2 linked regions of the Nothobranchius furzeri genome follow. The protein of the gene in region 1 purifies or fractionates together with the protein of each later gene. This does not show direct contact. Links are inferred from orthologs where the notes say so. Each region holds a gene or a part of one and is shown in the gene's direction. Other genes may lie near its edges.

The links.
Region 2: the proteins of nepro (region 1) and rpp25l purify together in Homo sapiens (affinity purification with mass spectrometry; 3 studies listed by BioGRID and IntAct, with this or other methods). This does not show direct contact. The link is inferred for Nothobranchius furzeri from reciprocal best matches to the Homo sapiens genes RMP64 and RPP25L.

Annotation. Positions count from the first base shown.
Region 1 is NC_091754.1:12,629,402-12,633,609, forward strand, and holds the start of nepro (nucleolus and neural progenitor protein), read left to right. Parts: upstream 1-1,406; 5' UTR 1,407-1,494; coding exon 1,495-1,579; intron 1,580-1,769; coding exon 1,770-1,924; intron 1,925-2,003; coding exon 2,004-2,092; intron 2,093-2,226; coding exon 2,227-2,355; intron 2,356-2,510; coding exon 2,511-2,588; intron 2,589-3,737; coding exon 3,738-4,039; intron 4,040-4,208. Other genes in the region: tex30 (testis-expressed protein 30), read left to right, coding at 1-73, 153-204, 324-541, 729-893. UniProt on the Homo sapiens protein: May play a role in cortex development as part of the Notch signaling pathway. Downstream of Notch may repress the expression of proneural genes and inhibit neuronal differentiation thereby maintaining neural progenitors.
Region 2 is NC_091745.1:59,630,803-59,635,064, reverse strand, and holds the start of rpp25l (ribonuclease P protein subunit p25-like protein), read left to right. Parts: upstream 1-1,455; 5' UTR 1,456-1,558; intron 1,559-1,575; exon of another isoform or gene 1,576-1,599; intron 1,600-4,262. UniProt on the Homo sapiens protein: May be a component of ribonuclease P or MRP.

The DNA of each region.
Region 1 (4,208 bases):
TTTCATCTGCCTTCGTTTTACGTGTAAAGGCTTAAATCTGAGTTATAGAGTTAAGGCGTATTGTGCAGTGTGGGTAAGGGTTTTCCATTTTTTATAAAATTATGTTAATAAATTCTAGTGTGTATTCACACGTTGCTGTGTTTTTGCTCTAGGACTACTTGAAATCATATCAGAAGTATACAATAAAACACACGTTTGTTGGAGGTAAAAGCCAAGGAAATGATCAGTTGCCATATTCTAAAACTTAATTACATATGAAACAGAAACGAGTATTAAAAATAAAACAAATATATATTTTAAAATTTTTTTCTGTATGTTGACAGGCAGGTCATTGGGATGTCGTGCTGCAGCAGCACTGGCCAGGCAGCTGAGTGAGGAGTCGAAGGAAGCAGCAGTGCAGGGAGTCATCTGTCTCTCTTTCCCCCTGCATCCTCCAGGACAGAGGCATATCCATCACCAGCGGAGCGAAGATCTCCGGATGCTGCCTGAGTGCCTTCATGTGCTGTTTGTGTCTGGCACTGAGGACAACATGTGTGACAGGGTGAGGGTGAAATATGTACCGGGCCTTCATCCTGGTACCTTTTAAGTTCACTTATTCAGTTTTTTATTTGTTTAATTTTATGTTCATTATATCCTAAAATCTATAATTTAGTGACATCATGTATTATTTTATCCATTTCAACTTTCACAATTATATTTCAGTCATTGTATTTACTTATCTTTTTTAGGAGCTTTTCAGTGGAGTACTGAAAGATATAAAAGCTCAGGCTGAAGTTTTATGGATAGCAGGAGGCAGCCATGGACTGAAAGTGAAAGGAAGGTCTGAGGATTCTGTGATGGATGAGATCAACCTGAAAGTTATCAACTGGATAAAGAAAATTGAGTTTAAGTGAATCACTGGAGTCATCTTGTTATTAGTTTGTTTCATTTTCTTGCATTTGTTAAATAAAACACATTGTTTTTATTACAACAAATCTGTTGGTACAGTTTTTACTGGGTGTTAAAACTTTATTATGCAAGCAAAGTATTCACGTTAATTCATTTTCTAAATGTGTGCACATTGCAAGAGCAGAGTTGCAAATATTGCAACATTAAAAAAAATAAGTAGCTCAAGCACGTGGGGATGGCAAACTTGTAAAATTATTTAAAAATATTTATTCAATATTTAATAAATGTTTCCAATTTTACCACATAGTGTATAAATACATTATCAAAAATATCCTTTTTTCTGTAGATTTTAAATATTCAAAATATGTTGAATTTCACTTCAAAATGTCTTAGAAATACTTTGATTTTTAAAAATGGTAAATTGTTTCTGTAACAATTTAAAAAATATAGAAGAATAAGCAAATGTCTTATTTATCTATTAGTTTTATTATTTTCAATTTTCGATTTCAAGTGTCAAACTTGTTTCTGTACCTTTAAATCCAATGTTGACGTCACACACTCGAACACTATTGGCTAATCGGCTTCCGTACATGGAATGCAGAAAGCATGGCTGCGGAACCATGGAACAGGGTAAACATTCCCTTTCCCAGTGCGACATCAAGCGTCCACATACGTCTCACATCAACAACAGGTTTGGCTTTTTAACTTTAAAATAATTACGTGTTTTACTTATATTGTCTGATGTCTCGCGCTCGTTTCAACGCGTAAAAACCGCGCCGATCTCAGCCCTCACGTGTGCGCGCAGGGGTTTTGCGTCGTGTGCTTCGATGGTGACACTCGTGTGTGTGTGTGTGTGTGTGTGTGTGTGTGTGTGTTTCTAGCTGAGGTTTTCAAAACCCTGCAGCGGGAAAACAGCCAAGTCCTGAAGCTTCTCCGCAGCAATATTCTTTGGACGGAAATCAGAGTTCTGTACGAGCTGCTGTACGTTCTAAACAACAGCATGAGAGGCAACAAGACGTTCAAGGGGTTACAACAGGTCAGCACCAAAGCTGCAGAATAACTGTTTTGATGTGGACTTCTTTAGATGTATTTGTCATGTCTGACTTCTCCCACAGGTTGAACAATGTGTAAACAGACTGAAGAACATGAAGCTTGATGCAGCTCTTGAGGATCTTGCAAATTTGTGTCCAACTAAGATTCAAATGTAAGAAGCAAACAACCCAAGGCTCTTCCTTTATAGTTGATGAAACAGGATAGGTCAAATCAAGTTTTAAAATATCTAAAGCGCAACCTTACACAGCTTTTTTCAAACTAATGTTAATTTGTGTGCATTTTTAGGACACTGTGCACCAAGAGCGGTGAGTGCAATGTTCCAAGTCAGCCCACGCTGGAGTGGACCTGCCTCAAAGTCCTGGGAGCCAGCAAACTCCTAAGCTGCACCTTGACCCGCTGCAAAAGAGCCTTTATGTATCCTGTTTTAGAGGATTGTGTTATCTGTGTGCATCATAAAAGTATCGGTGTCATGTCGTTTTTGACTGCTGGCGTCTTAGTTAGGGTTTAGTCTTTTTCTGATCACTTTATTGCTGGGGGGGGGGTTTATCCTTAACACATTTTTGTTTCAGACTCACGAGGCAGCAAATGAAACTGGAGGAGTTTGTGTTATTGTGTTTGGTGATCACCAGCATGCTCAGTCGTTTGTGGTAAGAGAAACTTTGAGAAACTGCAAAATAGAGGCTGGAGCAAATGTAACTCCAGAAAAAGCCATTTTTACTGATCATTTTCGGAGCAGTGCCTCGTGTTAGATTATGGGCCATTCCCATCTGTACCGGGTCGGCCCCAGCCTGGCCCGGTTGATTCCACACATCCTTGTCTTAAGCCCATGTGGACTGATTCTTCCCACCAATCAGAGGCTTGCTCTAATGGAAGGTGTGAATTTGCTGTCAGCAGTGGGTGTGTTAGCCCTGGTCGGCCTGAAGCAGAACCCCTCGAGAGAAGAGGGCTGAGAATGAGCCTTGGTTGGCCCGGTAAAATACCAGGCCACCCAGATATGTAAACAACCTACGCTACCCGGCCCGGGCCGACCCGGTACAGGTGGGAATGGTCCATTAAGCCCCATTCCCACCTGTACCGGGTCGGCCCGGGCCGGGTAGCGTAGGTTGTTTACATATCTGGGTGGCCTGGAATTTTCCCGGGCCAACCAAGGCTCATTCTCGGCCCTCTTCCCAAGGGGTACTGCTTCAGGCCGACCAGGGCCAACACGCCCACTGCTGACAGCAAATTCACACCTTCCATTAGAGCAAGCCTCTGATTGGTGGGTAGAAGCAGCCCACATGGGCTTAAGGCAATGATGTGTGGAATCAACCGGGCCAGGCTGGGGCCGACTGGGGCTACCCGGCCCGGGCCGACCCGGTACAGGTGGGAATGGGGCTCTTGTTTACAACACTGCTGTAGCTAGCGCTAATGATGAACAAGAGCCAACTGATACCAAATGATCCACAAAGTAAAAAGGTCCACACCATTGGGAAAAAAAAATGTTTATTTTTTAAATTTACACGTGCAGTAGCAACAAATCCAGGTCACCATCAGTCTGAAATTTTGTAGCTTCGTTTAACTCCCTCAGATGAGTGTAGGCTGTGCCGAGGTTCACTCTGGTTTTACCTCTATGTTTAGATCTTTTTTGGGCTTTTTATTGGCGAACTGATAGCAGTTTCTGGTCAGTGGAGGCCTACAGAGTTATGTCCAATGTGAAGTTGCTAAAGGTACTGGCTTAAGAACCACTGAAACCAGTTTGAAACCAGTATCTTAAAATGTAAAAACTGTTGAAGTTCTCCTTTTCTGTGCCTTACCAGGGTGATTTTCCGTGGTATCCTGGTTGGGCTCGCCAAACTGTACCCGAATGTCCTGGAACTCCTCAGGGATGTGTCCCAGGCCCAACCCATGCCATACCTCACTGGCATCTCCCTGCCAGCTACTATCGCTGAGATTCTGAGTCCTTCTGATAAATTATTACTGAAGACGCATTGTGCATTTCACTCTCACGTCAAAGATCAGAAGATAAAGCAGCAAAGCAAAAAGAATGTTCCAGATAAAGAGAGAACCCAGGGAAAGAAGAGGAAGATTACAGAAGACCTGGGGGTTTTGGTCAAAAGAGGTATAGTGTCTTGTCTTCTGTTTTACCTGGACTAGGGCTGGGCGATATGGCAAAAATAGAATTTCACGATTTTTCCAATATTTTATCACAATTTCGATTTTATCACGATTTTTTATCCATGAATAGCATAACTTCTATTGCGTATTAAAGAAGAGAAACATTGAATAAA
Region 2 (4,262 bases), on another chromosome or scaffold:
AAAATGCATTTGAGGCATGCTGACTCTGGACCAAAATTTCTGTTGTTTATATTTAATAAATAGATAAAATAAGACTCAGAGTTAACTAATTATGACTTTTATCCTCATGCTAACATTTATTTTCTTTCAGATATCAGCAAGTGCAAGGATGACCCACCTACTCAGCCTCATTTGAGAACATTTCCAGTGACATTAATAGGAGACAGAAGATGCAGCTTTCAGCCAAGCTGGTATGAAAGTCATCCAATTGGGTTGAATATTCTGTTACTATGGACTCTACTTATTGTCATGCATGCAGACATTTTAGCCCACCAAGTAGCGCAGGAAGTGTGTTTGACTCACCATGTGGATTTAGGAACTGGAAAAAAGCAACTGAGAGAGGAGGGGGGTTTTCAGTACACGCAAAGTCTGAAAGGCATAAGGATTCAATGATAGCGTGGAGGGACTACCAGAGGGCTGTGAAAGCTAATACAACATTGGCTAATATACTCGACAAGGAACTCAGTAAAAAGGTTAAAGAAAATCGTGAGTTTATCAAAACAATTGGTGAAGTGATTTTGCTTATGTGTGTGTGTGTGTGTGTGTGTGTGTGTGTGTGTGTGTGTGTGTGTGTGTGTGTGTGTGTGTGTGTGTGTGTGTGTGTGTGTGTGTGTGTTGACTACAAAAAGCAGATTGTATTGTGCAGATATTTTATTTGTTTGAATGTTTATTTTTCATATGTACAGTTCATATAATCTTCAAATAAAGTCACAAACTATAATAATTGACTAGAATTGTTTTTTACTCAAGTCTCATGTTGCGGTGAAGCATTCAGAATTGTTATCTGAGTACCATAAAAACATGCCAGTTTTACTTTCACAAGTAAGCCATTACTGCATTCGCCGTAATAGTTTACTTGTTCATTGTCTTTTAATATGATTTTTTTTCTTGTGCCCCCATGAAAAAATACTGGCCCCACAGTGGCCCCCCTGGAAAATTTGGTCTAGAACCGCCCCTGGTTTGGTGATGTGCAGGAACAGGTGGAAATTTTTGTCTCAATGGAACTTCAAAATAGAATAATTTTCAAAATAAAAATGAATTTGCATACATTCTTTACCAATTGATTTTTGCTTTTTGGATCGATGGCCATGATGGATGTGTCAAAGTAGATCAATGTATTGTTACATTGTGAGTACATTTTGAGGCATGCTGAAATTTACTGAAATGTCCCTGGAGCTTCCGTTTGTCACCTGACGTGTTAAGAGAGAAACAACAGCTGTGTTCAGTTTGCTTTGAAACATCACAATAAAAACTCTTAATTAATTATGAGTTCTGCAGTCTTATTTGCTTAGACAGTGTAACAAAATAGTCCTTGCTGTGATGGAGCATCTGGGCTTGTTTTCCATGGTTTTCATAGGAATTTTATTGTTTTTCTGAAACGTATGATTCGCGGTACTTTAAAAAACTACAAGTGTCTCGTGAGTTTACGACAGTTTTTGTGGTTTTACGGTAACGTAACCTGTTGTGGTAAACATGCGGACTCGGAGCAGTGTTCAGTAGTAAAAGGAAAGAAGTAAAGGTAAGAAGATAGTGTTTTCATGCTGCAGCGGACCACCTAAGGTTTTTATCTTGTGTTACCCCTTATGACCTGCGTTTGTCTTATTTATGACCATTTTAAAAACACTTGTTTACTGAACGGTTAGCTTTAGGTGAGTCCGGGTGAAGCAGCTTCCTGCGGTGAGGTTTATTATCATCTGAGGTGTTTTCAGGTCAGAGTTTGAACAGCCTTGTTGGCACATGTGGTTAGTTGGAGTGGTTGTTGTTTGAAGTTAGCTGTCTAGCTAGTGTGCTAAAGGCTAACACCGCATTGAACGCGAAGTTAAATTATATTGTGTATCATTTCTGCGTGTGATGATGTCATAAGCATGCCGAACACTTAAAAAGACGCAGAATTGTATTTTAAACCTTCGTTTAAAACCAAGTTCAGCGACGTCATCACATCTGGGTAAAAATGCTATTTTTGTGTGGAGTTTGGTTTGCGCTCAGAACTGAATTTTATATCTGTTTAAAAACTCAAAAGGTTGGAAATGTGTTTAATCATGACTAGGGTTGCCAACTCCCTGAAAAATAAATAAGGGACACCTCGCGGGCAGGGCGCTCCAGGCCACCCTTCCCAGCGTGGTGATTTTTTTGCTCTTTTTTTGTGTGTGGGTGTGAAAGGATTTTTTTTTTTTACTATTTGACTTGAAGTTGGTTTAAGAAGATGCATATTCTTTGTGATATGAAAACATGGGAAACAAATGATCATTTAGCCATTTATTTATGGCGTGAAATTACAAAATTATTATAAGTAACAAAGGTATTTTTCTTAAACAGAAAACTGTTATGCTCAACTTTTTGTGCAAAATGACAAAAAAAAGTAGGTCTCTTTCTTAAACGGTAGCCTGTTATGCTTTACTTTTTAGAATATAAATAGCTCTCTTTAAAACAACTCTGTTCTGCTTAACTTAAAATTGTATAAATTAATAGAAAACAACAGAAAGAGCAACGCTGTAACTGCACATTGAGTGCAATTAGAAAAGTGCAAACAGAAAGTCTGTGGAGAAGCTGTAAACATATTTGTGCCTCAAAGGCCTTGACTGTAGCCTATGGTTGAAGTAAAAAAAAAAAAGTCCAAACTCATGAACTCAAAAACTCAATGCTACATTATGTGAAAACAGACTATTTTCGCCATTTGTATTTCTTTTGAGATCTTGCTGCATTTAGGAGTTGTTTGTCTTTCAGTACTGCAGAGTAAAACTCTGAGCAAGACATGTCACAATTTAGAGTGACAATGAGCTCACATCTAATTATTTCAGTAGAACATTTGTTCCGCACATCAGTCCACTTATTCTTCATGAGAGAGAAAATCCTCTCTGCCAATCCAGTGGAAGATGGGATGCTGAGTACAAACGATACAACAGGCTGGATGTTGGAGAGGTCAGCTGCCTGAAGAATTTCTATACACTTCTCTGCTGTTCCCTTGGACTGCCACTTTTCCTTCTCCTGAGGTCCTTTGGTGAGGTGCTCCAGAAGGCTGGCTGCAGTGACACACTCGTCATAAAGCTCATCCATAGAGATGTTTAACCTGCCAATGGAGATAAGAAGTAAACCTGGGTTATAAGCACCACATAGAACACTTACAGTGGTAAATAAATGGAAAACATTTATTGTATATTTATTGCATTGTATAGCTTTTATACAATACAATAGTTCACTTTATTTATTATGTATTTATCCATCCTTTTAGTTTAAAATTATCCAAACAACATATAAACCAAGACAAGGCTACATCGAAACTAAACACCCAAGTTAAAAAAAAAAAATAGAAAAACTAATGACAAAACAGAAACAGACAACAAAAATAATAAAAATAATGGTAAACAAGCCCCAACACAGTGGGTTTTTTTTTCTTCATATAAATACCTTCACTTTAACCAGAGGGTTTAAAAAAGCAATGTTTACTTACCATATCTGCTTCTGCCATGGCCTTGTGGACGACAAATGGATCGAGGGTTCCCCGTAATTTCACGTCCTTTATGTTTTTCATGTGGCTACTACTAGACGCATGTTGCTTGAGGTCAGTGAGTCCACCATGCCCTTTGGAAAAACTGCGCCGGTACACGGTGCAGTGCGCTTTATAGGTGTTCTCGCGCAGTTTTTCCAGCCAGGAATTTTCCTTTTCCCATTCCTCCCTGTATTTTTGAAGCCTTTTTTCTTCTTTCTCGGAGGGGTACTGTCGTCCGAGACTTGTACAGCAGTGTCGGCGTTAGTTTCCCGGTTGGCCGTGCTGTTTGCTGTCGTCTGTTTTCTTCCGGTATCTTCTCCCCAAGCGACCGTTCCTCGACCAATGAAATAAGCGGTAATCTTATCGTCATATTCGTGTGTAAGCATGCGGTCAGTTCATTAGTCACAGAGCAGGCGAAGGGCTGGCTTTCAAACAAAGCGTTAATTCCGGTAATAGACTACAGACTAATTTTGATCCATACTATATTACGGGACAAAGTGCGTCCCTTTTGAGTTCAATACGGGACGTGCACTTTTGTTTCTAAATACGGGACGATTCCGTTTTTCAAGGGACGGTTGGCAACCCTAATCATGACTGATCAGCTGCTTTAAATGGGAAAACTTCAGTTGTCCCTAACATCCTGACTTATTACAACATATTTGTTAAAATAAAACAATTTCTTTTTATTCTGTTCAGTAGCAATCCCTTTCCTTCACAGCACTGTACAAGTTGTAAT